Drosophila melanogaster: one gene and its partners. The protein of the gene in region 3 interacts with the protein of the main gene of each other region in a pairwise test. Each region holds a gene or a part of one and is shown on either strand. Other genes may lie near its edges. The genes, in order: CG15800, B-H1, ara and pdm2.

The links.
Region 1: the proteins of ara (region 3) and CG15800 interact in a two-hybrid assay, tested with the Drosophila melanogaster proteins (one large-scale study listed by BioGRID).
Region 2: the proteins of ara (region 3) and B-H1 interact in a two-hybrid assay, tested with the Drosophila melanogaster proteins (one large-scale study listed by BioGRID).
Region 4: the proteins of ara (region 3) and pdm2 interact in a two-hybrid assay, tested with the Drosophila melanogaster proteins (one large-scale study listed by BioGRID).

The regions. Positions count from the first base shown.
Region 1 is NT_033778.4:23,788,868-23,794,990, reverse strand, and holds CG15800 (uncharacterized protein), read left to right. Parts: upstream 1-3,763; 5' UTR 3,764-3,798; coding exon 3,799-4,272; 3' UTR 4,273-4,377; downstream 4,378-6,123. Other genes in the region: sona (sol narae), read left to right, coding at 2,924-2,995.
Region 2 is NC_004354.4:17,393,715-17,404,411, forward strand, and holds B-H1 (BarH1), read left to right. Parts: upstream 1-3,763; 5' UTR 3,764-3,979; coding exon 3,980-4,802; coding exon of another isoform or gene 4,803-4,807; intron 4,808-7,750; coding exon 7,751-7,979; intron 7,980-8,113; coding exon 8,114-8,696; 3' UTR 8,697-9,564; downstream 9,565-10,697. UniProt on the Drosophila melanogaster protein: B-H1 and B-H2 are regulated by members of the wg signaling pathway; wg and dpp. B-H1 and B-H2 are coexpressed and functionally required in R1 and R6 receptor cells and primary pigment cells for normal eye development.
Region 3 is NT_037436.4:12,577,250-12,585,230, forward strand, and holds the start of ara (araucan), read left to right. Parts: upstream 1-3,422; 5' UTR 3,423-3,853; coding exon 3,854-3,904; intron 3,905-7,981. UniProt on the Drosophila melanogaster protein: Controls proneural and vein forming genes. Positive transcriptional controller of AC-SC (achaete-scute). May act as an activator that interacts with the transcriptional complex assembled on the AC and SC promoters and participates in transcription initiation.
Region 4 is NT_033779.5:12,653,751-12,661,625, forward strand, and holds the start of pdm2 (POU domain protein 2), read left to right. Parts: upstream 1-3,414; 5' UTR 3,415-4,323; intron 4,324-6,501; 5' UTR 6,502-6,715; coding exon 6,716-7,181; intron 7,182-7,875. UniProt on the Drosophila melanogaster protein: DNA-binding regulatory protein implicated in early development. Involved in neuronal cell fate decision. May act as an octamer-dependent activator of transcription.

The DNA of each region.
Region 1 (6,123 bases), on a different chromosome or scaffold from region 3:
CTTGGCTAACCATCTAATATACATAAATGAATAATATGCTCAGGAACAGATGCTTAAGACAACCATTTAGGCGACGGCCCTGAAACCAGTTTTGGCAGCCATGATCTTCGATGGATTATGTCAGCGAACCTAGAATTTAAATTGGTCTCATTCAAATATTAGTGTTTGACATTTGGCCCGCACTTTATATCTTTTTGTTCGCCATTAGCCAAATTTGCACAGCTGTTTTTTCTTCAGCTCAACTCGCGTTGACGTGCTTTCAACAGCGGACTAGCGACTCAAGGTGCAGGTTCCCAGACCGCATTCATTGTTTTATCATTATAAAACAATGGCCAAAAGATTCGCTCGCCCTTTTCCAGCCAACAGGCATACAAATGCAAAAAGTTCAGGTCACAGACACTTTACGTAATCCCCACCGCCACTTGATCGCTGTCTGCAACTTGCAGCGGAATTGTCGGCGAAGTATCGGCTAAATTTATTATCTCCTGGGCAAAATGTTCGCAGTTGAACTTTGTTATGTCACATTTTGGCCGATTTATGTGTGATCCACATATTTTTTCTGCGTCTGTCTGGGAAATGGGTTGGCTGCGTCACTCATACGCCCTGTGGTTCCAGTTCTTCTCGCAGCCAATGTCGCTGTCAGACAGACGAGCGATATATGCGGGAAATGGGTTCATTATCAAGCCAAATGGTGTGCTACTGACTCAGGTGCTGACACAGGTTCCCCCAATCCCCGATGCTTATCGGCCAACAGAAGCAGCTGTTTGTCTGACACACCGCTGGCAGAGGATGGTGGAGAGAGGTGGCCAACAACTGTCAATGTCAATTTAAACTAAAACGCTGACGCCCTACAAAAAGATCGAGACAACGAGCTTACAACAGAGTCGCACTCGGCGGGTTGTGTCAGCAAATCATTAAGAAAGCAAAAGTTAAAAGCAGCCAGCAATAGCACACAAAAAATTCCCATAAACCGAAACAGACGCTGACTTTATGGTAAAAGGCACAAGACCCACAAAAAACGAGGGGGGGGGGGAAGGGGAAAGAAAAACATATTCGGCCAGGCGGCATAATTATGCGGAAGCTGACAATGCAACTTGCTTTTCGGTTTTTGGCGGCTTTCGGGGGCTTTTGGCACAGTTCCATTCCCACTTCCATTTCCAAACACTTTTCGGCCAGCTTCTGTTTGAAGCTGTTCGGTTGACATTTGATGATGCGTATCTTTTTGTTTTGTTTTCTATATACTTTTTCATTGGCCCGTAATTATATAAAAAATATGAACGGGAATTATGCAAGCCGAGTTCAAGTCAAAAAACAGTTTTGCCATAGCCGTAACCTTGAGCTGGCTCAGATTTAGATTTATGCATGCGCACATATGGCAAATGATTCGACCCTAATCGGCCTTAATTATGCAAATGATAGACCAAATCGAGTTGCCATCTTGCCTCATAACTGTTTCTCTATTCCAACTGATTTGGTGTGGTGTATTGTAATATGTGAATCGGAATATCAACCAGATTGTTCGCGGTCACCTAAAAGCCGTGACGTTTTGGTTTTTTACTTTATCACCATCGCTGTTAAATGTGCGCATGAATTTCCTGATAATTTGGCGTGCAGCCAATGCACATTAGTTGCGATTCAGTTAAAACTTTTCAATGCTCTTGATTCACTTTTGCTTTTGGGTGAAAGTCTCGCCGCGAAGGTTGCCAACTGGCACTTTCTGTTAGCATTGATGCTTTTCTTATGGACTTCTGACGGCCATTACATGGTGGCAAAAGTCGGTTGACCTTTGGCCAAAATGGTTTTCATATTATTTGGAAGATTTTACACTTATTTGTAGCTACACATCTTTGAACGTGGCTTGCAAGCTTCCTTGTCATGCTTCTAAGCTCAAGTTCGTGTTCTAAGTCTTTTGTTTTGAAGCGCTTTCCATGTTTACTCAAAATATCGATTCCATTTTCTCATTTTTGCCTGCCCGCCGGCTGAAATAGGAAAAAGTGAACTTTCCTTGCGCTTACCTACAATTTTCGCCAATCCATGAGCAAGTGTCTTGGGGCATTGGCCTTGGGCTGGGTACCACCCACATTTGGCAATTGCTCAGCCGAACATTTCATTACGATTGATGATGATCGATTCGCCGGCGAGACTTTCTTTCACTCGAAGTGGGCCACGGCAGTTCGGATCTTGCAGCACGTTGCATGCAAATTGTGCAAAACCTTTGGGATATAAAATGTCATGCAATTTGTCGTAAATGTCGCTGAGAAGTTGCGACACGGCAACGTGAAGCGGCTGTTGCTGCTGCTGCTGCTGTTGCTGCCTTTGTTGCCGCTGGTCAGTTCTGTTTGTTTTCTTGGTTGGTTTGTCAAAAGGTTGGATGGATGCTGTTACCCCCTCGCCACGCATCGCTGCATCATTATTGACAATTAGCCGCATTCGATGGCGGGCGGATGTGCAACTGCAACTGCAACGGCAGCACAAACAGCAATCAACAGGGCAGCACAAGATTGTTTTATGCCTCGAGGCTGCTTCTTGGCCTTATGCAATAATTAATTACTCGGCCAGCGGGCCAGAAAACTAGGTTTCTTTCTACAAAACTAAAAGTAAATATTAATTGAAGCAGCAAGCGGCGTTTGAGTTGCAACAACAGATGCTAACTGTACTCGCGTTGCAAACACAGTGCTGTCCATTCGAGCATGACCAGGACGGGTTTGTGGGCAGGGAACTAATGGTCATGTGAGGTGGTAAGACCATTATTTGGGAAATAAATACTTTGCATGCTGGCCCATTGCGTGAATATATTGGCAAATGGGATGTGGCTAATAATAATTAATATTTAATTTATTTAATTTTCGTTTCCCCTTCGTCTCTTTGCAGTTTAAGCATTTTTAAGGATTATATTAGCACCCTAGGCGGCCGAAGCAGTAAGATGTCCTCACCACTGGTCCTTTTCACAGCGCTCCTCCTGGTCAGCAGCACAATATGCCAGGGCCTGCCAGATGTAAGTACCCGCAGATATGATCAATGCCAAGTGCAAGAACTCATCAATCAATCGGTGCGATATAAATAACCTTTGGGCTCTTATAATGCCATAAAGCCAGCTGTTAACGGATAAAAAGGGGCAAAAAAAAAAAAAAACGAACAACAAATGGCCGCCAGTCGGCGGTTTCATTGTCATTCGCATTGTGCGTAATTAGCATTTCGAGAAATACAAAACATTTTTTGTATATTAATTAAATTACAAAACAGAGCAGAGCGCAGTGCCGAAGAGAGTCGTCGTTAGAAATAAAACATTGGCATTGTGTGTTTGCATTGTGGGCCAGGTTTCTGAGTGCGCCTGTATGGGTACGTATCTCATTGACACACAGCACAGCTTTTGTCTCGAGTTTTTTTTTTGCTTTTCGTTTTCGAGAAAAAGCTTGGCCAGCAAAATTATGGCCAAGGTCGGACGTAAAAAGTTCTTGTAATTATTTCAAGTGAATTTCAGACTGTCCCTCCCTCCGTTTGTTTACTAACTTTTATTTTATTATTCTGCTGTCGTTGGCCATTTGCTAGCCGCCTTCTTTACACTTTTCTCTTTCATTGTCACTGCCTTTGTTGCGGAGGTTATGGCTTTGGTTGGTCGCTTGGAAACTTTGTGATTACAGCAGATGGTGGTTTATTTCGATATTGAACTCCAATTTGAACAATTTCCAGAGGTAGAGTAGGCACAAGTTTGTGGTTTAGTTCGTATTGATTGCAAGCAGTAGGCCCTGACTTTCTGATCCGAAGCTCTTAATTTGTTATTCGAAATTCGGTTCAAGAATGGTGCGATTCGAGACAAGGGATGGCCGTACGATAAGCGTAAATCTGGCTCTGCTCGAGAAATCCTTGGTGATCCGGGAGATGTGCCGCGTTGGCCAGGTCCCAGAGGATGAGGACTTCGTCCTGCCGCTGCACGGTATACACAGCAATGTCCTGCTGAAGATCTTGCTGTGGGCTGAGTACCATGAGAAACACGAAGAGCCCGCCTGGGTGGACAGCAAAGATCCTCTTCCGGCCGAGGAGATTGAGCTGCAGATCTCCGATTGGGACAAGGAGTTCCTGCGCGTGGAAATCGATAGCATTTGCAAAATCATGGAGGGCTGCAACTACTTGGACATCCCTTGGCTCTACAAGCTCTGTGCCCAGAAACTCGTCTTCCTCAGCAGCCGAGAGCCGGAGACGCAGTTCAGCGGTTACGTGGAGAAGATCCCAAGATTCCAGGATCATTTCATTGAGCAAATTCAAAAGGAATAGGGTGATTTGTAAAAGGAACGTTTGGGCTAAAATTGTCTCTTGGCTGTATTCAAAACTGCTGAAATTCAAAGAATAAAAAATATTAATAATAATAGTAGTAACTTTCCGTTTTCGTAACCTATTACAATGAAATATTCAAATTTAGCACGAGAACCCACATTTTATTTTCACGTTCCCTTGACTTTTTTTTTTTGGAAACACTTAAATATAGACCATGATATTTTGGGTTCCGATTTTGGAGCAAGTTCGTGTTGGCGGAGACATCGACCCCCTAGCCTTGCCAAAGTGCTGGCATAAAAAAGTGCCCCATAAACGACTTCGTCTCCGTTTTCCACTGCAATTAAAGTTGACACGCTACACCAGCAACAACAAAAGCGACTAAAACAGCCCAAGTAACAACAACTTTGACGAGGCCCTTCAAATCCCAGCCGAGCATGAAAAGAGTGATGTAAAAAACGAACTGAGGTTGGTTCATGCAAAACACCACCAGAATATCGATTCGGATTCGAGTGAGTCAGCAGTCGGCAGTTGGCAGTTTTGTAGGTTTGCATTTTTGCTTTATGTGCTGTCAGAAATGCAAAGGAATATGAGATATCTAAATGTTTGCGGCCTATCAATTGCCGGCCAAATAAATTAAGCCTTTAATTGTGCAATCCAGAATGGTTAGCCGCACGATTTGTTGTTGTTTCCTGGACTCGTATTTTGTTATTTATTTATTTATTTTTTGTTTAGCTACTGATCGGCTCTTTCGCTTTTTGTCTACAGCTGCCTGCTCTGTGTCACGGTTTGAGATTTGCTTTATTTCTATTTAATCATTTTTGAGTTCGGGTTCTCGGGTCACGTTCTCCCCGCTGTTTTTATATATATAGTTACTTGTGTGCGTGGAGCTACAGGAAAATCGGTCGATTGTCAGTGAATGAGTAATTGTCGGTTGTTTAAGAGATTATGCAATCGCAATGGAAACGCATAGACAGCGTACAAAAATGCAAAGATCTTAATTGATAATCCAAGCGATAAAGGTAGATATTGCAGAGATTCTTTAAAAGATGATAAATAAAATGGGTGTATTAAATCAATTCCACTTTAGTCTTACTTTAAACGAAATTGCCATTGAAGTGAATATTTTTAGCATTCGATCCGCCATATTCACCCAATTGCCAGACAAAAAAAAATCACTCAAATTTGCCATTCCGATTAGACGCAGCTCATTCCGGAGGTTTCGTAACACCCTGAACTTTTCACACTTTGTTAATCGCTGGCATAAATACAAAATTTCCAAAAGCGAGAGAAGTTAAAACCAGAAAATTTAACGCCGACAGAAGCGGTTGCTAATTTCCGCCGCCTGTCAGCCGAGGCGACAAGGTCAACACACCCAAATATCCAAGGAAATGGATTGAAAAGAGGCGAACGCCGACGAGTTTGCAATTTGCTGGCTGCCGCTGCCATCCATCCATTTGCAAAAGCCCAAACGAAGTGCCAAACAAATCTTGAAAATCATTTCTTTGTATTTGACTGACTGCGCGAAAGGTCGATTGACACTCTTTCGAGCGTCTGCCGCTGTTGACTTTGACCGGCTGATAAAAACGCGGGGAAAACAATTGCACAACAAACAGTGTTGGCCATAAACAGTGTATTGGCCTCAACCAGAGCCAATTTGAAGCACACTTTTTGCGTTAATATGGCGGCTACACCTTTTACTTTGACTTGACTCTGATTGCACTTGGTCGCCGCCGCCGCCATCGAAGCTAAAGTCGTCGCAATGCCGGTTATAGCGTAGCGCGCACACCGGGCGTATGAGTAATCTCGCACAATTTCAGTAATTGCCCGCGCAGCAGCACCAGCAGCACCAGC
Region 2 (10,697 bases), on a different chromosome or scaffold from region 3:
TGTCGCCTGGTCCGTCGTTTAGCCAACTTGCTCTCCTAATTAAGAGGCCCATCCGCAGATAAGCGAAGTATACGAAAGGATCATTAGTTTATCTACGAATTGGACAGGAAAATTTCAAAGATACAGTGGATCAGTGAGATGGGGCACATTTGTTTTGGCACGAGTTCAAAATATTAGTGTAAATATAATTACGATGTCGGAAAATAGGCCTTGGATCAGATATCTTATGTATGATGAATTTACAAGAATAGTTAGCAATTGGTTATATAAACAAAGCTACATTTAAATTAGCGCTGTATATGTGTATGTGTTTAAAAGAACTTACAAGATATTGGCCTTAATGAAAAGATTTTCCATCAACCTCATGAAAACAGATAAGTTTTTATAGTTACCCCTCCTCAAAGGGATTACTCTTTTCATCCAGATTGAGATATCAAATCAAACCAAATCAGATCAGAGTGCGATCGCAGCGAGGTGTTGATTAGTCGACCAGCCTAAGCTGAGCCATAAAAAGTGAGTGAAGTCCGAATCCGGACAGGTGCCAAAAGGGGGAGGTCCAATCGAAGTCGAATTTCAGTCCCTTTTTCCCGCTTTGAGATCCTATGGTATCCAGATCGAAATCCTCCATTGGATTTATAGCTGCAGGCAGGCAGTAAAATTTAAATAGCATCCATTTAGTGGGGCGACATCAATTTTTAAAACGAGCGCCGCTCCGGAAAATGAAAAGGGGAAAAGGGGGACACAGAGGGGCATCGGAATTGGAATCAGGGCTTATGTTTATCCTGCAGTTGTGTTGCTATTGTTGCTGTTGTAGCTGGCATGCTGACTGATCTGGAGCAGCGATAAATTGCCGTGCGGCATGGGGTTAAGCAGCTGGTGGGGGTTAAAGGGGTTACGGGGGTTACGGGGCAGGAGAACACCTTTGTTGGCCACGTTGTTGACAAATCATTTGGCAAGAACGTTGGCCATCGACGGCACACGCGACCAACAAAAACAAGAGCCAAATAAAACAGGGCAAACAAACTTAAAACAAGTCAACACGTTGGGTAACGAAGGCTTAAATACCCTTTGACTTTGGTAAATCGTTTGATAGATAAAAACATTTATGATTAAAGCATTTAAAAATTGTTCCATAGTAAATGAGAATATTTTAAGTAAAATATTTGTTACAGCTCTTTCTAAAAAAACTGTAATTTGTGAAAATGAAACTGTTCTTCAATTTATTGATTTAGGAAATATATATTATATATTGCGCAAATATTATGATTTAGGATATTATTAAAGTAGACAACCTTGCAGCAAGAGGGTATTGGCTAATATAAAGATAAAAGCCCTGGCAAGTCAGTCGATCTTGAGGCAGAGGACAGGGCCAGTGGTTCATCGGTCCAGCGAGAACCTTTGTCACCTCCGGACGGACCCATTTACCCCCACGTTGCAAGATCGCTGGATGTGGATGTGGATCTGGATCTGGATGTCGAGGGTTCGGCGAGGGCAGCACATTAAAAGTAAATTAACTTATCAGCGACAACGATCAGTTATTTTATTACGTTTGTCCACGCAGTAACACGAACATTATAATATCAAAGATGCCGATTAAGATTCCACAGGCCCCGCAGGCTCACCACCACTCTGCGGAAACAGATCAGAAATGGAAATGGACGTACTTTTGGATCAGCTTGGACAGGAGTTGGGTATCGCTGGTGCTGCATGTGGGTTGGTGTGGCTCAAATTGGAGGCACATATGAGGAAGATATATAACAAATGAAATCTTATGAATTTGTATATGGGCACATTTTCAAAATGAAAGAAGGAACTGAAAAAGAATACCTGATGTATTTTTCTGCATATTATATTATCTTGTTGTGCCTCTTATTCTAAAAACTTTGCATCTCCATTGATGCAGAATTCTTTTGCGGATATTTGCAGTGCAAACAGTCCTACTCAATGAGTGGACATTAGGCCAATTAAGGCTACTTTCAGATGGCAAGATACGCAGATAGGTAGATCGAAAGATAGATATATGGATATGTGGATAGGTATCCGAGCGATAGAAGGCTGCACATGGACAACTGTTAGCCAGTTCGTAGAAGAGGCCGGAAAAACGCTGCCAACTGTCCAAGTTCGCTGGCAACTGTCCAGTAATCGAGGGGCAAAGGGGGTGTGGCATTGGGACAACTGCGCATTGCGGTTTCTGCATTTGTACATTTCTTTTTCATAATTTCTCGCATGTGCACTGAGAAAAAAGGGGGTATCCTTTCGGTCCTATGTCTCTGTCTTATGTCTTTGTCTTTATTTTTTGGTTTTTTCAGTGCCAAATTCTGGGCTTACTTCATTTAAATATTATATTTTATAACCAATTCGTTTTTAACTTAATATACTAAACTAAACTTCTCTCAGTGCTGACATTGCTGGCCGAGTGCAATTATTTTAAGCATTCAATTGGCATTGGCAGTTCGAACTCGAATCGACCGCAGACCGCAGGATATACGACTGGGCTGGCAATTATATGCATTTAAGTGCAATAACCGTCATCAGGACGAAGGACTCGGTTGACTTTTCCTCGCATTTGATGCTCCGGCAGACGCTAATTATTTTAATGCGCTCCGCAATTGAAGCGCGCGCTTCAGTCCGCTTTACCCCCGCCCCCGGCGCCCTAATTTCCCCGCCACTAATGACCTTCGCAGGTCACCTGACCTTTTCCCCCTTCCGCTCATGGTTCTCTCCAGGTTGGTTCAGTTCCTCGACCGGAATCAATATCAATCAAACGGAAACCGCCGCTCTCGACAAATTGCATTTGTTCATCCCGCTCCGCTTCCCTTCCTGCAATTAGTCCTGGACTAACATGTGGCCACCGAAACAACCCAAAGGTGAGCCTAACCACCGGGCTATTGGCGTGAAATTTTAATTGCCATCTTGTTGTCTGAGAGCGTGGAATCGAAAAAAGCGACGCCCAAATGTCGGGCGTATAAGGTTTTTCGACTCAAAAATCGAACAATTTGGTGTTAATTGAAGTTCTAATATATAAAGCAAACACATTTAAGGAGCTCTTAAAATATGTCAAGCCAAATGGGACTAAGATTATTTTTAATAAATCAATGATAAAACATGATTGATAAAATTGTTTACTGGCTTGACGTTATTCGCAGATTTCTAAGCGAATATATATAAAAGTATTATAATATTCTTATGTGATGGGAAAGACAGATGTTTTGACATTTCGGAATTGAAAAGTTTTGGTAATTTATGTCTTAATGGTCTAATTGTTAAAGCAGTGAACATAAAGCAGAGTTAATATTTTTGGAATAATATTTTGTTCACAAAGAAGAGTACTCTTCACATAGTAATGCAGTAGCATCGTCTCCATCTCTCAGATCCAACTAACTTCCTCGTAGCGCCATTTTAGGCCTTTTTCAAGGCCCTGAAGAGCTCAAGAGCGTTTGACCGACATTTGGTGCTATAAAAACCGAGAAACCGGGGAGAGACTTTATTTCACCACGCCGTGGTGGATTCACCACGGTGCCGGCAACATGGCGCTGCGCGAGAGAGTGACAGCCGATGAGACGGCGAGAGCCGTGGAAGCGAGAGGCAGCGAAAGCGAGCGACTGGCCATCCCCCTCCGGCCTTCGGTAGCATATGCGGCCCAACCACCGCCTATGACAAAGTGGCAAAATTGTTGCCACAGCCGCCGCTCGAGCCTCAGCCGCAGTCGGCGTCGGCAGCAGCGTTGGCAGCGGCGGATCGGGCAGGTGCGTTTCATAAACGTTCAGTCTCGTTTTGGCAGCCAAGCCGCTCACGACGTCGCTGGGTGAAAAGTTGAGATAAGGCCAAGAAAACAAAAAAACAAACAAATAGAAGACAACTTGACATCTATAGGAAACTCCAGTGAATGTGAATTTTTTTAGTGAAGTGTTGAAAGCAAATATAATTCGTATAAATAATCGGCAAGAAAAGGGAGAAAGAGTGAAACCCCCTAAGTCCTATGAAAGACTCGATGAGCATACTCACCCAAACGCCCAGCGAGCCAAACGCAGCGCATCCCCAGCTGCACCACCACCTCAGTACGCTGCAGCAGCAGCACCACCAGCACCACCTCCACTACGGCCTGCAGCCACCGGCGGTGGCTCACAGCATCCATAGCACCACCACCATGTCCTCCGGCGGCAGCACCACCACCGCCTCGGGCATCGGTAAGCCCAATCGGTCCCGCTTCATGATCAACGACATTCTGGCGGGCAGTGCGGCGGCCGCTTTCTACAAGCAGCAGCAGCATCACCAGCAGTTGCACCACCACAACAACAACAACAATTCGGGCTCCAGCGGCGGCAGCAGTCCCGCTCACAGCAACAACAACAACAACATTAATGGCGATAACTGTGAGGCATCCAATGTTGCTGGCGTCGGTGTGCTGCCATCTGCCCTGCACCACCCACAACCACATCCGCCCACGCATCCGCACACACATCCGCATGCGCTAATGCATCCGCACGGCAAGCTGGGGCACTTTCCACCCACCGCCGGCGGCAATGGGTTAAACGTGGCTCAATATGCGGCGGCCATGCAACAGCACTATGCCGCTGCTGCTGCCGCGGCTGCTGCGCGCAACAATGCAGCTGCTGCTGCAGCCGCCGCTGCTGCCGCTGCAGCTGCTGGTGTAGCCGCACCACCCGTCGACGGGGGAGTGGATGGCGGGGTGGGGCTGGCGCCACCGGCGGGCGGCGATCTGGACGACAGCAGCGATTACCACGAGGAGAACGAGGACTGCGACAGCGGCAACATGGACGATCACAGCGTTTGTAGCAATGGTGAGGTGAGCCTCTGTACTATGCGGGGGGTGGGGTGTTGGCGGCATTAGAGGGTGGTGGGTCAGTATAGCATTCTCGCTAATTCTCGAAAATGCATTTTCAAGCAGGAATTTTCTTCATTCAAAACAAGTTCGCAATGTTTTATAAACAAATATTGGGTCGAAATAGAACCAATTATCAACAAATCTGATTAATGTTGAGCCTTATGATAAAAAATATTCAATATTCAAATTATCCAAGTCATTTTAAAATAAAGCTATCACTGCCTGGTGCTAAGCTTATAAAGTACATATCAGATATTTTTACAACTCTACGACCACTTGCCTTTTTTTTTAAACAGTTGTCCAGATTGTTTTGTAAAGCTAGACACAAAACATGCAGATCTGATAAGTTTAATATTTTTTAATTTGAACGCAAATTTTTTATTAATGATATTGATATTGCGTTTTAGTAACATATTCCCTTTAGGTGATATTAAATATATTTGCACTTAACCAATTCTCAAATGTAGTGAGTGTAAAGGCAGTCGTAAAATAAAATTACTCAAATTCCCCTTTAAATCGTGTTAATGGTTCTGTTGTGAAACGCATTTCATCATAGCCAATTGAAAAAGTAATTCAATTAGGTAAAAAATAAGTAAGTCCGTTGTGCAGCAGTCAAGTTCGTTGCCTAAGTCTTTTGTATTGAAGCGTGCGCCTGAAATGGGGGCTAAAGTGTGGAGCGCGGGGGTGGGGCGGCGGCCCTCGTCGATGTCGCTTTGCAAAACAAACTGTAAAAATTATTGCATGACCATTTTACATTCTCGTTCTTGTTGCTTCTATTTGTTGTGGTTTTAGTTGAAAAAAAAAAATACTTTTTCACGCTTTGTTTCCGTCATTGCGAAGCTTCTAAAGTCCCCTTGCCTCCTCGCCCCTCCTCAAACTTGGGGGCATGCACCTGCGAATCTGAGAGCTATTATGGCAGAATGGAGGCGTGGCTCGCAGTGGGCGGGGGGTTGGCGGAAGAAGAGGATCTGCCTGAAATGCAACAACAAAATGCAGTTTAAAACTGCCGCAGCCGCAGAAAAAATCTCAAATAATTACACACATCGCACTCACTGTTCCCCGCTTCGCCGCTCGCTCTGCTTCCTCCTCCTATCTCACGCACCTGCCCCCTTCGCAATCATTTAATTGTGGAAATTGTTATAAAAATGCATTTAACCCGCTTTAATAGACGCCCCATGGCAATGGCAGCCGGGCAGCAGCAAACGAAAAAATGTTGCAGTCTGTTTGCTCATCTCATCGCCACTCGGTTCGTTTTACTTCGCTTTTGGCCAGCTTCTCATGCGCTCCACTCCATCTGGGCCCTGTTTTGTGCCATTTATTGCCGCAATTTCCTGTTGCCAATTGCACTTTTATAAACGGTAGTCGCGTCGGCCAGCTCTTTTGGGATGACAGCCAGCGGGCAGGGAAGGCGGCAATCCGTCAATTCATTGGAATTTCACAATTGCGATCAGCTTCAGTTACAAAAAAACCAAAATGAATATTGATCACTAGATTTTATTTATAAATTTAATGAAAAATCATAATTATAATAATAAAATCAGATAGGAAAGTTAACTTTTAAAGCTTATATTTGAATTATAAATTTGTAAAAAAAAAAACAAATTAGGTTTTTTTTTAACAACACTGTCGCCCAATTTTATTTGGCACATAATTCTTGATTTTTGGTTTTGCCTTTTTTTTAACGCTCCACAAATTATCGCCCGCAAATCGATAATTCAGCAAGTCGGCGCCAACATTCGTGAGTAATTTTCTTTAATTGCAAATTAATTTTATTCAATTGCGGCATTATCGCTCATTTATCGCTGCCATTAATCATTTATCGTTTACGTTTTATATGGTAAACAACTTTCGCCTTGGCGGCAAAATAAGCTCTTGATTAGCGATGATTAATAGAAATAATTAGCAATGCATCTTTATTTGCTTCATATTTCAAAGTTCAATTAGAGGCATAGCTGGATTTTCAATAAATAAAATAATATTGACTTCTTGGTATCTCATTATCAATAACAAAGATTGAGTCCACTTATTTAATGGATCGTGCAAAATTAAAATCTTGAAAAGATTTTATTATTGTTTGTCTGCTTCCTGATAAATTTATATGCTTAAAACAACAAAAATATGCTAAGATTGTTAATTTCCCCGTTTCTAGGCCTTATTAGACCAAATTTAAATGCGGCACTTGGCAAGTTTTCGCTTTAAATAATTTAACGCTTGAGAGTTTACTTAGCCCGCGTCAACCCCTTAACCCCCTCGTGCCCATGGGCCAAAAACTCGCTCTCGCTTATCGGGTAACCACCATCGGTTGAATTTACATAAATTTTATGTACTAAATGGCTGGCCAGAAAAGGTGGAAAAGCGGCCTTTTCTGGCCAAGAACACTTTTCGCAAAAAGGGGTGCTTTGGCCTGGTCAGCTTGCCTATCTCTCTTGCGGCTTTTTGTGGCAAGTTTAGACATTTTGCGGCACGTTTTTATTACACTCACACACACACGAACCGCTTTGTGAGCGGAAGCGGCAATTGCGTGGCCATAAACGAGCCTCTAACTGTATCTGCAACTGTTTTAATAGATCGCACAGAGATCTAAATCGAATTAGCCTTATGGGCATACCAAATCACCAACAAATAGTGATTTTCGGTAAACCATCTCGGCAAATGTTAAAAACTAGTTTTTAGGCATTTAAAGTTTTATAGAAATGTAACTAATATACCTTCGTTTTAAGTTTAAAAGGGGGAAGTGAATATTATAGTATGTATTATAAACAAACTTCATATTTTATGATAATAAAAAGTTTTGGAGTTTTACGCATATCCTACTTTGCCAAATGTGGTATTAGATTAGACATAATGGACTTTTTGCCCTTAGTTTCTTAATATTTCTAAAATTGAAATTCTCTTTTCTTTCAGGCGGTAAAGATGACGATGGCAACAGTGTCAAGAGCGGCTCCACCAGCGACATGAGCGGTCTGAGCAAGAAGCAGCGAAAGGCGCGTACCGCCTTCACGGATCACCAGCTGCAGACGCTCGAGAAGTCCTTCGAGCGGCAGAAGTACCTTAGCGTTCAGGAGCGCCAGGAGCTGGCCCACAAGTTGGATCTGAGCGATTGCCAGGTGAAAACTTGGTACCAAAACCGCAGGTGGGTTTTAACTTTAATGATTTTTTAATTTGTATTAGTTTTCAAAGATGAACTTAAGAAAATACAATAAAATCTATACACATATATTCTTATTGAAAGTATACTAAAGTTTGGTATCTATTATCATTTTGCAGAACCAAATGGAAGCGCCAAACAGCAGTGGGCCTGGAACTCCTCGCAGAGGCTGGAAACTTCGCGGCCTTTCAGCGACTTTACGGCGGATCGCCTTACCTGGGCGCCTGGCCGTATGCGGCCGCTGCCGGCGCCGCCCACGGAGCCACGCCCCACACGAACATAGACATCTATTACCGTCAAGCGGCCGCTGCGGCCGCCATGCAGAAGCCACTGCCCTACAACCTATACGCCGGCGTTCCGTCCGTCGGAGTGGGCGTCGGGGTGGGCGTGGGTCCGGCACCCTTCTCCCACCTGTCCGCCTCCAGTTCGCTGTCCTCGCTGAGCAGCTACTATCAGAGTGCCGCTGCGGCTGCCTCCGCTGCCAATCCGGGCGGACCGCATCCGGTAGCGCCACCACCTTCGGTGGGCGGAGGATCTCCGCCCAGTGGCCTGGTCAAACCGATTCCGGCCCATTCCGCATCCGCCTCGCCGCCACCAAGGCCACCATCGACGCCGAGTCCAACGCTGAATCCGGGCAGTCCGCCAGGACGATCCGTTGACAGCTGTTCCCAGTCGGACGACGAGGATCAGATCCAGGTGTGAGCGGTACGCCGGAGTGCGGCGATTGTGTGCGTGTGCTAATCATCGGGTTTGGGCGGTCTCAAAAGTGCGATTTCCAAGGGGATACATAAACTACATAGTTGGTTTCACGAATTTAAGTTACATATCACTCATTTTGTAAATCAGTCGGATCGATGATTTTATTGTTCCATAAAACATAAAAGTTTACATGGCATTTAGGTTATTTAGATGAATCAGCAGTTGCATTATTCGTGCACCATATCACAACATCGTTTTTATGGTTCAAACTTTAGTACAAAGGTATTTTGTTTAAATTTAACCAAAATATATTTGGAGGCATTTATAAACTTACGATCTAAACAAATTATTGTTTAAGGTCATAAAAAGCAGCACAAATGAGTTCAGTATTCAAAACAAAATCATGGAACCGAAAATTTGAATGGAACATGCATATTAAAAAAAAAAACATTTGTCAAAGATCAATATCCACAAGAATTCGCGTTTTTGAATCTCCCCTTAAGCCCCGCTTGTGTGTGTGTGTGCCTGCGTGTGTATATATATATTAATATCCCTGTGAATCTGTGTGTGTGCTTAATTTATTTGATTTGCTCTTAGTAACTTATTCGAAATGTTTTTTAAAGAGTTTTTTTTTTTCAATATAAGATAATGAAGTAAAATTAAGCAAATATTTATTTAAATGTTGTAAAAACTAGCAGCCAAAAAAGCAAAATAATTTTGTATAGTTAAGCCTAACCACGAAATGTATTATCGAATAAACAATTTTTTTTTTGTCGGTAGCCTAGACCTATAAACGTTGTAACTGTAAAATGTAAAGTACATTTAACCGCATATTTTTTTGTCTAAATAAAAAATAACAGAATGTGAGAATAGAGCAATCGTTCTGCGGGATTTCGTTGGGAGTGGGGGAGGTTGGACGTGTCCCGGGGCAATTAATATAATGACCAACAGAAACAATTTACAAACGATGTGTGCGGGGAGGGGTGGCGGGAAAGGGGGTTTTATGACGACGTGCGAGCCAACCCCTAATGATAATAATTGCATGCAAAATGCATTTAACCGCAATTAGTGCATTTATTAGGCCAAAAGTTGATATATTGAATAACTGCCACCGTTGGCCACCAGTTACCAGCTACCAGCTACCCGCTACCAGTTACCTACTGCCAGTTGCCAGTTACCAGTTGGCCAAAACCAGGGGCGTCCCTCGCCAAGGGGACTCGAGTTCGAGCAGTTATGGCCATGTTTGGCATTGCGTGCTCGCATGCAAGCGGCGCTGCAGGCGAAGGCCCAGCAAACGATCCTTGAAGTCCGGCCAAGGACCAAGGATGCACCAGCTGACTGAATCCAAGGGGCTCCCCGCACATCCCAGATGGAGCCCACGGATTACGGGGCCGTCAAGGTGGGCCAATTCTAGATTTGAAAAGCATCAGGGGGCTCAATAATGAGGGACCATTAAATTTCTACTACAATACTTTCTACTTTAAACATAAAATTATGTTTTCTTTCCCATACATACTGTTGTATTATTATTATTGAGTAAATAATCAAAATGTTAAACAGTAGACACAAACCTTTGAGGGGACTAAGGAAATCTTATATATTAATCTAAATATATATGTTATGAATGTTCCCCCTCATTTGAAGCCACTCTTTTTGATACATAAAATATTATCATTTTCATATATAGATGCATTTAGTCTCAAAAACCTAGGTATCCTTTTTGATAGGGTATTCCGGAGTGGACCTTATTTCTAGGGCACTCCAATACACCCCTGCACTGCGTTTTTGCTGGCAGCACGCGTGTTCTGGGTTTCGAGTTTCTTGTGTTTGTGTTTTTGCGCCTTCATCGGCAAATTGGCCGCAATGTTTAAATTGCAGTTGGCCTAAAACAAAAGAGACGCTTGGCAGGACAATGAAATGACAACAAAAACACGACGGTGGCCAGCGGGCAACCGTTCATTAAAGACAAATGACACAAAACACAAACTGCACGTACCGTTCGCT
Region 3 (7,981 bases):
TGTTGTGACAGTTTTTGCCGGCGAATATAATAAAAATAAAAATATATATTTCATTTTCCACGGCGTTTGGGTTTGAGTTTTGGGTTCTGGTGTGGAATGGAATGGATTCATTGCCGTTGCCATTTGCCGGCTATTTTGAAATTGATATATGCATAAACCGCAGTGACAGATGTTGCAATTAAAACGGCATAAAACGGTGGAGGAAATGCCACCACCAAAACTGCTATATCCTTGATCGAAATATATATATATTTGTGTATATACATATGTATGTTTTATCGAGTGGCGTGAAAAGTGCGCGCTGTCAGTTTGACTGGCGGACAGCTCAATTGTCAAAATAGGTTTTAAGTGCCGTCGACTGATTTGTAAGTGAAGTGCACTTCTTGCCACCGAAAGTGGCAACTGCCAATTGTGCGATTTCAGTCCGCAGTCTCGGATCGACGAGGACTTTTTCGAGAATTCTTGCCACTCGATTCTCGAACTCAGAGGGTGGTCAGTGTGTGGCTGCCGCAAATGGAAACGCCCCATGTGGTTGCCACTCGTCGTCGTCTGGTGTGTACCATCATGCTGACCCATTGATTGATTGCATTTGGCCCGTCGCTGCCACGCCCCCCGCCGCCACTCCGCCCACAGACCCCCGGCCACCCCCTCTTGCGTCCTTCCCTTTTCGTCCGGCGATTGCAAAAGCGCCACTCGTAAAACGCGCAACACAGCAAATATTGTACTTAACACCCGGAGGGGCACTTGGAACGGACTCTACGCTCTTGTTGCCGCCGCTGCACTCGAAAAAAATACGTGCTCCCATTTAGAATAAATATTTTTAAAAGGCCTTTTGCTAAGAAAACTACCTTAGAAATATTAGGAATAGGCTCAATTTTTAATACTTATATTACGAACTTTTAGAAGCACACTTTATATAGCTTAATTATTTTATGGCATAATTAAATAATATGTACATTGAAAAATATGCATTATATATTTATAAATTATGTATGAAATTTATAAACAACCTTTAGTTTTTCATATTTAATCTATTATTTTTCCAATTTTAAAAGCAAACTTACTAATGTTTACCAATAAATTCTATACACCTTTATCGAGGTTCCTGTAAGTGATCCCCGATTTTGGCCAAGTGTGCGACTGCCGCTGGGTTTTGCCTTTGGCCTCGTCATGACTTGGCTTCCCTTGGAATTAATTCACATTTGGGTTTTGGTGGGGGCAACAGCTTTGGTCATTTGTTGCTTTCAGCTAACACGCTGCTCTCATTTTCCGGCGCTGCTGGGCCGCGGTGGGTGGGGTGCCACCACCCCCAGTACCACCCATATCCACTCACCATAGCCACTCCATACTGCTCTATTCTACCCACACTTCCAGCCACACCACGTGGATCGTTTCATCCACACACATATATCTTATGCGGAGCGAGGTGAGGACACGCCCAGACCTTATGGCGCAATTCCGTCGTGTAAGTCGCACTTTTTCGGTTTTATAGGTTAATTTGCTTTTATTACATTATCATAAAAATAAACAAACGACAAAAAAAAGAAGAAGAGAAGAACAGGAGAACAAACAAAAACACGCTGCAAACAAGCTTGCCAACATCCGCGGCACCCGCAAAAACATTTGAGGTTTACCTCATCTCCCCCATCACATCGCATCACATCCACGGCGGACTCTCCATTTCCGGAATGCGTGTCCTCGACCGGAGAATTCATCCTGCCGGAGAATCGTAATCGTAAAAAATAGATCGTAAAGCGGATGTCCAAATATGTTAGTGCGCATTAATAGCAAAAACTTTTTTCCAAATCCAGCATTTTCACGGGCTCATGTGCAATATGCGGGTACCTTTTACACACTAAACTTATGGAATTTTATAAATATAGTTAAAAGTTCATAATAAATATGGTGTAAGTGAAAAAGTGGGCCATTCCTTGCCCTAAATTTGACAGTATAATATATATTTTTTATGATTTCTTAAAAGACCGAACTTTCTGCAAAACACACGAGGTTTAAGTTATCTCTAAAAATATCTTAGAAAAATCAATTTTTTTTTTCAATTAATGTATCATAGTGCAGAAACATACGTTGCATGCAATTTATCAAAAAGAAAATTAGGTCAGGCTTTTCTTGTTTTTCGGATACACGTCAAGTGCTATTTAATTGCAATTAAAATTGCTTATGTTCTAGAAGATATTTTAAGTGGCGAAATTAAATTGGCTAGCATATTTAAGTAGCATAACAATTAGTTTAGTTAGATAATTAAAGTATTTTAATTGCCATAAATATTGTTCGCCAAAGTATCGCAAATGTTGAAAATACTTAAATGATCTGTGTCTGTTAAAAAGCAATTGCAGTAAAAAAATGCAATACACATTTTATAAAAAATTTAAAATGTCTCAAAGTTAATATATGTTATGATTACTAATAACATAACCTAAGCTAAGTAAAAATCTGGTTGATATTTAAAAATCCCAAGAATTAATGGTATGATTGCCTGTTTGAGTAAGGATATTAATTCCTTCCATAAAAAGTTAAAATCTTGTTGATAATTTAAGTAACTGGTATCCAAGTGGAATGATATTTAAACAAAGATCGCTGGAAATGTTTCATTTAAACCCGAATTAGGAGAGATTAATTAGTGAGGATCGATAATGGGAGTTAACTAAAGTGCAATGCAGCGATAAAGATAATGACAGACGATAAATACAGTGCGAGTGTCTTGGAATTTGCTGATCTTATTAACGCTTTTGTGTCGCCACTTTTGGCCATCGCAGCACTTTGTTGCCACTTCCAGCTGGCGATCGCTGGTGGCGCACTTCCAGTCGATGGGCGCGCAATTGTGAAAAGTAAACAAACAAATGACTAGCCAAACAAAACAAATGGGCGTTGCCCGGGAATTGTGGGTAAAACAAGAGACCATCGACAGTTGTGAAAATGCGTCCCGCTCCCTACCCACTTCCTCTCCCTTCACCATCCGCTCATTTCATTTGTATTTTCTTTTCTTTGCTTTCTTTCGCCTGGCGACCTCGCACCTGTCCATTAAATCAGCCAGCCGAAGCTCATGCAGCCCTACGATTGGTGGTTGCGCTGGCCTCACTTCCAGTGAGCCGCGAATACGAGTCACTGGCGGGGAATCGGATTGGAATTGCGGAGAGAGCGACCGGCCAAATGCCACCACCAACACCAGACAAAACCGGAGAACGGTGGGCGTTGCTCTAGAGTGCTTACACTTCCAGTCTGCCGACTCCGTTATTCTTGTTGCTCGCTCCAAGGCGAGCGGCATTCCGTTTCTCTTTCGATGGGGGGAGGCAGCATATTGTTGTCCCGCTTCCGCGCCAACTGCAGCGGAATGCGCCCCAACAGCGCAGCAACAACAACAGCAACAGCAGCAGCAACACGGCCAACAGCAACGGCATTCGCAACCAGTTCGTGTTCGAACGTTATAAGGTGCACATCTGAAAGGGAGCGTGTGCTGAAGCGCCGCGTTTTTGCCGTCGATATTTCGTCGATTTTTCGTTGCCGCCGCGTTTTGCGAGTGCTGTTAGCCAGAAAAAAAAATAAAATATATATAAACAAAAATCCACCACAAGTGACAGCTGCAACTGCAAATACCAAACAAATCCACGAGATACTTTCGGTTGGCCCAATGTCGTTATGGTCGTTATCGCCAGTGCCCACTGTGAACAGACCCAATCGAAACTGAGCTGTTAAACCCCCGATAAGCACATCATTTGATGTAGCAGCTTCACCGTATATCCTTCAGCAGACTGCCCACGAGCGAGAGAGAGAGAGAGAGAGAGAGAGAGAGTATCTTAAGACTAGGTCTTATATAGTCGTATAGTCATATAGCGAAATGGCTGCCTACACACAATTCGGATACGGAGGCTTTCCGTCGGCCTCGCAGGTGGGTCCTCTAATTAACTAAATTTGATCTAGATGTATATACTATATGATGGCTATTCATATTCATTAAGTAGCAAGAGATCTCAAGATAACTAGAGGAATGAAAATGTTTATTAACTGCAGATATGGGAACCTATTTAGATACAATATTATTCATACGACTGATATAATCAACTGATTATTGTAATTATGATTGCCTTAAAGATTCATAATTTTTATGTTTGGAGGTATTAAAAACAGAGGTCACAAGCAAAAAGCGTTGTAAAATCATATTTTTTCATATACATATTTAATTTTTCTATTTATAATCACAACTATCTTTTCTGGAGTGCGTTCCATCATTAAAACTGAACCCGTTATCTGAATATTTTTTCTAAAATTTTTTTCCTAAAAAAGCTTGGTTGGGTTTAAATTCTATTTGTGTGTTTTTTAAGCAATCCTTACCACCAACTTTCATCTGAGTACTTCCACCGACTCCAGTCAAAGTTATCCGATTATTTGATCTTGAGGACCCACTATAGGGCAAAACCGCTAAAAGTCTTTGATTGTAGCGCTTTTGGACTTTTCACTAAGCAGCAAAAACAGCTGCTTGAGGCAAACTTTTTCCATGTTTATGACAGTAAATTGGTGGCAGGCCAGCAAAAAACCATAATAAATCAGATGGCTGATAAATGGCCTGAGAAAAAGCCACTCCGAGGAATCAGGCGTTTTTGTCAACCTTCAAAATTCACACAAAAAACGATTCGGCGTTTTAAAGATGTTGCACAAAATTGCGCGGCTTGCAGGTGCAACTAAAATATTTGTAAAATATTGTGATAAATTACAAAAGTTGTAGAAGCTTTCGAAAGGCCTAGAGTAAATTAAATTTCCTATTGATTGCGTTTGCCTGGGCTAAACTTTAATTTCCCAGGCCATAATACTTGGTTACCAATTGCCTGGTTCTTCCTCCAAAGAACTCTGGCGTCTTTCCCATTTCGGACCACACGAGCCCAATTAACTAAAGTCGAAAACGAAAGCAAAAAAAAAAAAAAAAAACTAAAGAAAAAGGAAAAGAAAAAAGGGAAAAGCCTTGGCAATCAGAAGGCCAAGACGATGGGAGGTGCCGATTGAGGCACGCTCAGGTGAAACTGTTGAAAAGTCAATAAAATTCAATTGCGGCGATCGTAAATCATAAAATTCATAACCGTAAAGTGACAGCTGAGGGCAGGCTCTGGGAATGCCCTCCTGGCTACGTGAGGAGCATCCATTGAATCTGGAGATGGCAGATAGGATAGCATCCGAATCCCAACGAACACGATCGATGGACCAATGACTTGGCTCCACTCTGATCTACTTTACATTGGCTTCGTTTTGGGGAGTGAGGAGAATGAGCGGAGTGCGGCTCCAAGTGGCGCTTATAGTCCGGTGCTATCAACTTGGTCATCTGGAGGAGATTGTCGGGGGAGGCACTCGGATGCAGAATCGCGGTAGCCTGGCCGCTTTGGTGGACCCACGAGATACAAGCTGCGATTAGATCGCTGCGTTTGCGATTCACAGAAATTTCCAAAGCCAGTGCAACTCAGAAGTTGGGTATCTGGCATTGGGCATTGGGTACTGGTTACTGGTTACTGGTTACTGCTCACTGGGCACACACATGGCCAGCAGATCTTATCTGCGCACTGTCGCCTGCCAGTCGTCGTCGTCGTCTGCATCCTCCAACTGCGAACAACGAAAGTTCCACGTTCCATCCGCAGACGTGGCCAATTCACATGGCCCACTGGACCACTGGCGCTTCCTCCGAGAGCGGAAAGGTACTGCTGGAATGGAGTCCTCTACCTCATGAATAATGCATTCGCTCAAGGAGCTGAGGAATCTGGCAGGCGCATAGAGCTCCCTATATGGTGTCGCCTATCAGATTAGTTGTCATAATTCTCATATTGTTGCGTTTGCCGAGAAACTCTGGGAACGCGTTGCCTCCTTTCGATCGCTGAACATTCCCATACAGAATCGAGCGAAATGTATTTGCTTTTTACTAATTAAAATCACGCGGCACGGTGGAATACAAAAAAAAAAGTCAAAAAAGTAAAACAACTGAATCATTCATTTGTAAAATTTTGATAAATGGCTGTGAGTTTTCACATTTTTTTTTTCGATGTCCCTATATATAGTCAGCGGTCTTGGCCTCGAAATTCTATTATTTGTGCGTTTCAGCACGACTCAAAAAAAAATATGTTTTTCCTTTATTAATTATGATCGGACTTGAGCGACCTTCTAGTAGATCACTCACCTGCTGAATTTCGAGGGGATCAATCTCGAATCGAATCGATCGCATCTGATAATTATAAAATAATATGCATGTGCTGCGATTTTCGGGCGAAGAAGATGGTTCTATTGTCAGATTATGTTAATGACGCGGAATAATTATGCATTCTGCTGGCTGCATTTAAGTTTTGACCGCGAATTCGGCCACAGAAGCCGTGTTAGCCGGGCTAAAATTGTTGCTGCCCAGATATTATGACCTTTTGCTGGGCACTTCGATCAATTTGTAGCTGTCCAACGGGCGGAGCACTCAACTTAATTATGGGTTCGGTGCGTCGATATTTTCGCCCAGAAGACTAAAGTCTTCAGATTCCAGACCTTAAGACTTCCAGACTTCAAACTTCAAGACTTCCAGACTTCAAACTTCCAGACTTCAGTTTGCAGATTGCAGACTGTGGGGAAATTGAAGCAGTCCGCTCGTTTTGCAGATTGCCCGCGGTAATTTTCAGAAGCCTTCGCCAGCATGTTGCCCGACTCCATCTCCATCTGCATCAATTCCATGCATCCCATATCCACATCGATCTTGTGGATGGGTCCGAAAAAGTCGGTCTGGTCTGGTGCTGGGACCTATAGGCGTCGGCTGCCACACCCTCATTGATTTCTGGCATTTTTTAAAATGCCCCCAAGAGAACTGGCTTCGTGGGCTTGGCACATTTTGCATATTAATTGCCAAGTGAGTGGCGCATGCCATAGGCGAGGTTCCACTGTGTAAAAGATGGAGGACATCACATCAGGCTGCCCCCGTTGCCGATCCGTCGCACTTGGAATCGATTTGCTGGGTAATTGATCTGGCCGCCATTGCAGCGAAGTTCGCGAATCCCGAACTGCACTCCCATCCGATCCAATCCACTCCATTGATTAAGGGAACTTAATCGCCGCGGGATTATGAATCCCGTCCAGCTTCTGCGCTTTCCTGCCAGTGGCATTGATTGTGTGTTAACACCATATTCGCTTACATGTTATCGATGCATCTTGTAATGGGTGCCTACTGTCGATTTTTCGAATTAAATTCGCAATTACCCAGCGATTCAGGCGGATTTTGTGTCTTCAGTAGGAGGATGGCCTGCAAAATGGTACATTGATCTGGGGGATGGGTAAACAACATTGCCGGACATCAATATTTATGAAGTTTCCAGTACGGCAGTTAGCATGACTTACTCGGCATTATGATGCAGAAAATTAGCCATTATACATGGACGTGCGTTTCCTGTGCCGCGTCGATTGGAGGCGAGTCATCCCATTCCCGGGCAGGTTTCCATCCTCGCAGCTAGTTGACATCTAGTTTATGGCGCTGTTCAAGGATAGTTTAGATAATTATTAAATTACTTCTCAATTTTCTAAGTAATACGGACAAAGTGTTGGTACTTAAGAGAATCTGTTTATAAAGTCTTCACTTTTCTTTGGTTTTTTTTTTTACTTTTCAATAATCGGAGCTTTATATATATTTAAAAATTGAAAAAAAAAACAGTAGTATTCAAGTGTTTAAATCTCGTAATATAAAAGCACGAAATAAGTTACCAAAATCATTTGCTTGGAACATTCTTTAGATCCATCAATGAAAACTATCTTATCATTTGAGCAGCGCAATAAACTAATTCATTGGCGAAATGTTTTGAGATAAACACTGTCAGCTTTAGGGTCTGCGTTTTGTGTTCGAAATGAAATATTTTCTTCAATGATTGGGGGGGTTTCTCGGAAGCCCCACCTCTGCGAGTGTGTGTGAGTTGTGGGGTTTTATCAGCGGTTCGTATCTCTATAAGGTGTTCAAAATGACCCTTTT
Region 4 (7,875 bases), on a different chromosome or scaffold from region 3:
TTTTCTATTTAGCAACAAATTCAAATCTTCAACAGTTATTTGATTATAAAGATTTCTGTAAAGATACATGACTGACTGTCGTGGTGAAGATGTGTTATAAAATTCATATATATATACATAACAAATATAAAAACGAAATATAGAAACATCCCGCCATTACTCTTTTCTATTAGACTGGCAACCCTGTCTTAAGCACCTCTATCCTGCAACTCTGTACGTAAATGCAAGCGAAGCCAACTGTGCCATATTGCCCTGCACCTACCCGCCCCCTCAAGGCGGTGGTATATACAGCACCACCCCCTCTGGGCGCCCTAGGCAGCCATTGTATTCTGATTGTGCGCCTTATGGCCCAGGACTCCTTCAGGGCTCCTATATATACACAAGTGTGTGTGTGTGTGTGTGCGAGCGTGGAGAGATGGAAAAATATTATTTTTCATAAATTTTAAAATATACCATGGGCAGGACTGGGTGAGCGAGTGAGAGGGCGAGCCTTGTGTGTGTGAGCTTCTTTTGTCCTGCTTCACCCGTGTATAACGGTAAATGCCAGCCATACGTGGTTATATATTTGTACAATATACATATGTACACGTCGAAGGCAAAGTAGAGGAAAATGTATGCAACATTTTACAATGCAAAAGCCATTTACTTGGGCAACGTAGGAAAGCCAAGGGAGATGGAAAACTAAGAGCCCCAGAGAGAAAGAGAAAAAGGACCGTTTGCGTGTTGGTGTAAGTGTGTGCCGCCTGCATGTGTGTGTTTGCTCGTGAGGCAGTCAGCATATGAAAAATGAAAAGTCACAACTGCGAAACGAAAAATACGAAAAGAATACCGTTGAAATACAGCCTTAGGAAAGGAAAAAAAATATTTCTCCTCTTTGTTTCCCTATATACAACAAATACCGCCCGCAAGCATTTATATACACATAAACATCATGGGAAACTTTCAACTTTTATGTCGCCTCGTCCTCGGTGGGTAATGTAAATAAAAAGAGACAGGAAATGTTTGCGATATGTAAGAGCACACGACACAAAAAAAAAAGGAAAAGTGCAAAATTCTAAAAAGTTTCCACAGAACGCGGGGATGATATGGCAGGAACCATAACTTAGGCACCCGTCAGCTTAGCTTTGTTGGTTGGTCCTTAGGTGCTCGCCCTTCAATATGAAAAATGAGCCAGGGAAGGCAGATGAAATTTTGGGGCTGGGCGATTTTTTCAAGTTTTATGGGGCGTATACGGAATGTGGAATACCAAATGGAAGAACTAAGGGCACAGTTCAAGAGGTGGTTGTCTACTTTTTCGAGCGTGTTAGTTAGGTTCTGCATATGGTAAAAATAACATTTTTTAAATATTCAAGTAAACACCTGAGAACATATGAATTAGAGCTACAAAAACAATATTTTTTTCATATCAATAAAGAAAATTACATTTTTACTGCTTATAAGAAGAATTTTTTAGTTTTTATTATTTACCAATTATCCTTATATAGGTTTTTTGAACGTACACCTATTGTACACACAAGTGCTGCAAGTAAAATCTTCAAAAAGTACGCTCGCATCAGTTTTACTCTTCCCCAACTTCTTTATTTCATAACTATCTTTTGATTACCAAATAGTTACTCCGTGAATAGTTGGGTCATACTCTTCAGAACCTACCCCCACAAACTAAACCATTTTCAGACGAAACCCATCGATTAGTTGGATTTAAGCATCTCGAAACAGCGACAACTTAAATGCTTACAAAACAAGAATAGTGGAAAAGAGGATGTAAAGGAGGCTGCAGAGGAACCAAAACACAAGCAGACGGGCAGACAAGTGAATAGAAGTGACAAACCAAAAATAAAAGGGCCAAGAAGGGAATTTCCTCGGCGCTAATCAATGAAATTAAAGCTGCGGCCAAGGCGAAATATCTTTAAGGACTCACTACTGAGGGGGGGCGGCATGGGGGAGTGGAACATATAGAATAGTGAGCGAGCCAAGCTACTGCCAACTTTAATGAACGGAAATTAGCAGTCAAAAGGTAAAAGCCCTCTCGCTCTCTTTTTTTCACCCGCAGCATCTGGACGCCGCGGCGAATTCGCGCACATGCACACACAATGGCCAACGGCGAAATGGAGAGAGCTCCCCACGAAGAGCGAGCATGCGCCGCAAGAGAGCGCCAAAGCTCCATGCCGATTGGCTGCCGGCTGCCCACTTTGGGTGAGTGTGTTTGTGCGGGAGAGAGCGCGCTTGTTGGATATATTTCCCCAAGATTTTCTACCTCTCCCTCCGCACTTTCTCTCTCTTGCGTTCTCTTTCTGTTCAGGCATAAACAAACCATTTTGAATAAAATCAACAGCAACAACAGCGGCAACAACTACGTTGTTGCAACAATGTGGATCCCAAGTTGCCGAGAAAAATCAACTGATTCTACACTTAGAAAAGTTTTATATATTGGTTATAATACAATTTCATTAAAAGCCTATTAACATTATAAATTTACTTATAATTGTAAAAGAAATGTATTTAAAATACGCTTAGAACCTTTATATATAAATGTATAAATTATAATATATTCTATTTAGAGTAACAATAAAAACCAAATTAAGTTATACCAAGACGTGTTTGTGAATATTTGTTAAGATAAAATATAGAATTTAAGGTTTATTTCTGTTAAATATTAAAATGGTACAATAGAAAATGACTGGAATATATATTATATAATTTTTGTAAGTGTATGGTTACTACAGTTGCTTGTGGTGCTTCTTCTTCCATTTATTCAGCTAGTACTGCTCTTCTTCTAGATGCTTTGGCCTGGTCAAGTTGCATTCAATTGCAGTTTTTCAGTTGCCACTCCGTTGGCCGATTGTCGGTTGTCGTCCTCGCGACTTTTCTTGTTTATTTTTTCAACTAGCTGTGTGTGCGTGACAGCAACAACAATAATCTGAGGACGCCTCTTGTAATTATTTTAATTTATGCGTTTATCGCTTTTTGCCTTTTGCCGCCGTTCAGCGGATTCTGTTGGCTATCTGTCTGCATTTGGTTCGTTTTTTGCCTTGACATTCGCATTTTGACAGCACGGCGAATAATTCTCGGTTCTGCCATCATTGCAATGTCAATTTTTTTCATTTTTCATTCGCTGATATTCCGACTTGTCCACGGGGCGTATGCGTAACGCGAGTTGTGTTGTGATTTCTGGCAAGTGCAATGCCGTCGGAACATTGATTTTGAAAGGAATTAAATCTGTTTTGCCCATAAAATCATCTGCTTTAGTATTATATGTTTTATTTTATAAAACTTATTATTTTTATAAAAGAAAGAAAACGGTTTGGTATATAAGCGGCCATAAAAAAATCAAAAAATCTTGTATCTTGTGCCGAATAAATAATGAATCATATGATGAGAAACAGTACTTGAATCAATAAGAATTTTAATATATTTTATTATATTTTGCAAACTGAATTACTTGTATACCCTTATTCGGTTACTCGTATGAGCCTGACTCCTCTTCTCCTTCTCAATTCCCTTCAAGAGGAAATTTTCATGCCGCTCTAAACTACAAATCAACTTAGGAGCCCCCATATTATTTCTTCCCTCAACGAACAGAAGCAGCGGCAGTCAATACATACATAATTCGGAATCCGATAAGAGCCACCCACCCATATATACATATATAGAACACTCACACACACATATGCAGTACTATTTTCCACCCACACAATACAAGCTTTTCATTTTAAAACCTCCTGTAAAAAAAAAGAAGCAAGAGAAAGAAAAACGAAGTCAAACGCCCCAAAACACCCACGCACCACCCCCTCCACCTGTTTTATGGCTCCCTTTCCCCACCCCCACAGACACACACACACACACAGAGGCACATCGCAAACAGACCAATACACTGGCACACTCACACTCACTCACTCTCTCCAACATCTTCTATAAAAAAAAAGTATTTTTTGTACTCGCTTGACATTTTGTGGATACGTCGGACGTCGTCGGAAGTCGTCGCGAACTTTGCTTCTTTTTGCTCTTTCTCTTTTCTTTAGTCTGCTTTTTTTTCACTTTTTACTTTTTGCCCATATCTCCTTGCGCGTTTTTTTAAGTCAGTCGTTTGTCGGAAGTCAATCAAAAAGCGTGTCTCGGAGAATTGTCCCAAAAGACAGAGATCACCTCACCTCACCTCGACGGCCCACAGAAAATGCAGAAAGGGCGTGAAGCTGTCGCCATTCTCGTTGGCAATTACAATTTATAAAAGTGTGGCAAAGTAAACAATTAAATTATAATTCGTGACAGCAGGCGAAAACCAGTAGAGGAAAAACCAGTAAGGAGGTGCGCCATCTTCCAGCCCAAGTGAGTTTAACTCTTTTTTTTCTTTTGTACCCACTGAGTGTGTCAAGGAGCTTGTCTTGTAACGCCCACACTCAATGCGATCGATGGATCAGCCAGATGGATGATACAGATGCCGCAAGAGAGAGAGAGAGGGCAGAACTGTTTCTTCTGGCCTGTCAGATTCCTAATGAGCTTTCCCAAGTGTCTGCGCGTATTTCAGCGTCCTTAATTGGCCATATGTGTTTGAGGGCCAACAAGTGTCCCGATATGGCTGACTATGGTAGTTGGACGGGCGAACTGAATCCATCATAGAGATCTTGGTCGGGCTTTAGCTAATCATAACAAAATTGTGACCATGTTCTGGTCAAATCTTTAACAATGGAAAATCTTAAGGTTAGATCAAATTAAGATGCAAAATGTATTAATAACAAGCAATTATCTTCAAAATGAGGCAATATATATATATATATATTGAATATAGTATTTGATTTAAAGGATAGTTTAATAACTTTTTCTAAATTTGTTCCATTCCATATATTTTTCATAAACCTTCTGTGATTTGTGTACCCTATCTTAGATGTGCCACATATATATTTTTATGGGTTTTTTACAATTCCACTTCTGGCAATGATTCGATCGATAATCACGACAAACAATTTCTCAACCGAAAGTCAGGCAAATCACATCATCGAACTAAGTTCCCTCGTATCTTTACAACCGAACCGTGTACACCCAATAGAAAATTATGAAAACACAAATTCCAAATTGAAGACAAACACAATGGCAATGTTCGGTATTATATGATCGGCGATACGTTTCCAATTGGAGTAAGCAATTGTGTTTAATTTTAAAACAAGATGAAGTTAAACAAAAATAGCGAAAGCCCCGATATTGTCGGCCCAATAAGGAATTACCGTGCCGATTGGGAATTATTGAAAGTAGCACCGAGGAATAAGTGACTGCATTTAGTCGGCGTTCGCTTTGATCATACCGGCAGATATATCGATTCCTGGCAATTGGTTGCTGACATGCAAAGAACATAATTTACCGACTGGCAAAATTGATAAACAATCTTCGTGTGGCACTTTGGTTGCGGCCAATTTGCCGTCGATACTGACAACTCAATTGATTTGTTTACAAGTGCCATTAATGTTAGTTGCCCCGACCCGCCTCTTCGTGGCTCATATGTACATAAACCCGTTTGGTAATGTATGTAAATAACCATTTCCATAAACGCACTTGCACTTTTCAGCACCGTATCTTATCTGGCCAAGTTGACTTGTTGTTCGGGGCATTTGATCGTTGCGCTTGTAGTTTAATTTCCCATTTCTATTTCCTTTGATTTCATCGCCTTTTGCCGTGATTTTTCGACACCCACCCACCCACTCCTTATCTCATTTGACTTCAATTTGTTTTCAATTTACAACAATTTCGTTTCAAACCACATTTGGTAAATGTGCCCATTTTCATTCTCCCATTTTTTGTTTGCATAATAATACAAAGTTTAGGTTTTAGTGCCTTTTATGGTGTCTACTGCTGTAAAGTTGTATACAACCACTTTTCACTTGTGGGAGCTGATTCGACAGGCCATGGGAAAATTTAGAGAAATGTTTGGACTGCTCAATAAACGAATTTAAAAGAGCAAACATTTAAACTATATAAATTGCGATATGTACTTTTATGACATGTTTACTTTCGAGTGGTATGGAATTTCTGTAATTATTTAACTGAATGATATAGTTTCTCACATATTAACATTTTCATTCAATGCTAGGTACAGTAAAACTTCTAATCAGTAACTTACTTTACATTTACCTTTTAGAAGAGAATATTAACTTTTAAACTTTTACCCTTATATATTTTTTTATCAAAATACAAACTTGTAATCGCAGAATGGGCTGACAATGCAATATACTCATGAGCCAGTTAATAAACTAAACTAATTAATCTCAGTTATAAGGTATACAAACATCCGTTCGATTTCAAACAAATCCACTGTTTCCACCTGTAACGTGAAAAGTCACGTGTACAGGAATGTGGATGGGTCAGTTATTTTAAGGGAAAAATCAATTACTTCCGCTATCGAGTCGTAAAGATCACAGCGCTCTATGTATTTAATAACAGCTTTTTAAAGTGCAGTTAACAGCAAATTAGGCTTTCAGCCGAAGAAGACACTTTTAATTATCAACCCATTTGCAGGCAGCAAAGGAGGCAGAAGGAGGAATACATATCGCCAGCGGTCCATGGGTCAATATCATAATCTGAGGCAGCAACCGGAGCGGCAAACAAGTCGCCACAGGCAGCAAGGAGCAGTTGAGTTGGCCATAAATCAAAGCGACGCAATTTGCTGCTGACGAACTGCAACGCAACAGCGGCAACAAGAGCAGCAGCATCAGCAGCAGCAGCAACAACTATGCCATTACTGCTGGCAACAACACTTGCCAACAATTCCCATCATCAACACTTGAGCACAACAGCAACAGAGACAGCAGCAGCAGCAGCAACAGCAAAAGCAGCCGCAACTGCAGCAGCAGCAGCAACAGCAACCATGTTGCTGACTTCGCCGACAGCAGCAACTCATTGCCTTGCTGCTGCAACATCGGCAGCAGGTGTTAATGTTCAAATTACTGGCCAAGGCGTTTCAGCCACTCTGAACGACGATCAACTGCAACTGCCGGCTAATTATGCCGCTAACGTTGGCCATTTGAATGGCTTTAACCCTAAAGACAACTGCCCACCAGTTCCACCCACCAGCGAGCGGGCTTTTGAGGGATTGCTACGCCTGCCGCAGATACAAGTCAAGCAGGAATTCATGGAGTCGCCGCCAGAGAGGCCTAGCTGCCATCCCATGAACCACCAGCAAGCACCAGCCAATTCAGGTGAGTTGACCTTTTTCTCATCGGAATGGCCATATATTATAAGGCCATATTATAAGCAAATGCATAGGTATTCTTAAATTATGAAAATGTTGTAAATGTTTTTTACGAGTTGCCAAAGCCTTTAGGAGATGGTACACGTTATTAAGAGCTAAATATCTTCATTTATTCTATTAATTGTAGCACTTAAGAAATCTAAAATGTATATATTATACTCCACCGCTCATTTTAACACTACCTTTGGACCCCTTAATCAAAATAATGCATTTTAGTGCTTAAATATAGTATATTATAATATTTTCTATTCTCAGTCTCCATTTAAACGACTGTAAGTTATCCACCTTGCAAGCCCCGCCTGAGTCAATAAAACCCCATAAAGGAGTTAACCCTTTTCAGCCCACCGCCCAGCATCCACACAAATGCATATGTGTATTTAAAAACCCATTAAGTGAAAAATGAGGTATTTACAACGTGTTAACAAGAGCACGGCCATTTTTCATGGTCTTCGGCCCGAAAAAAAAACAGGCCTCAAAAAGTGGGCGAAGCGCCGTATGCCAAAGAAAAACTCGTGCCAAACGCATGCTTATGGGATTTTCAATTTTTTATGCATCGAAACAGATTTCATTTTTTATTGGCAAAGGGGTCGTCGTCATCTTGATAGAGCCGAGAAAAAGGATGCGACACAAGGGACCCAGAC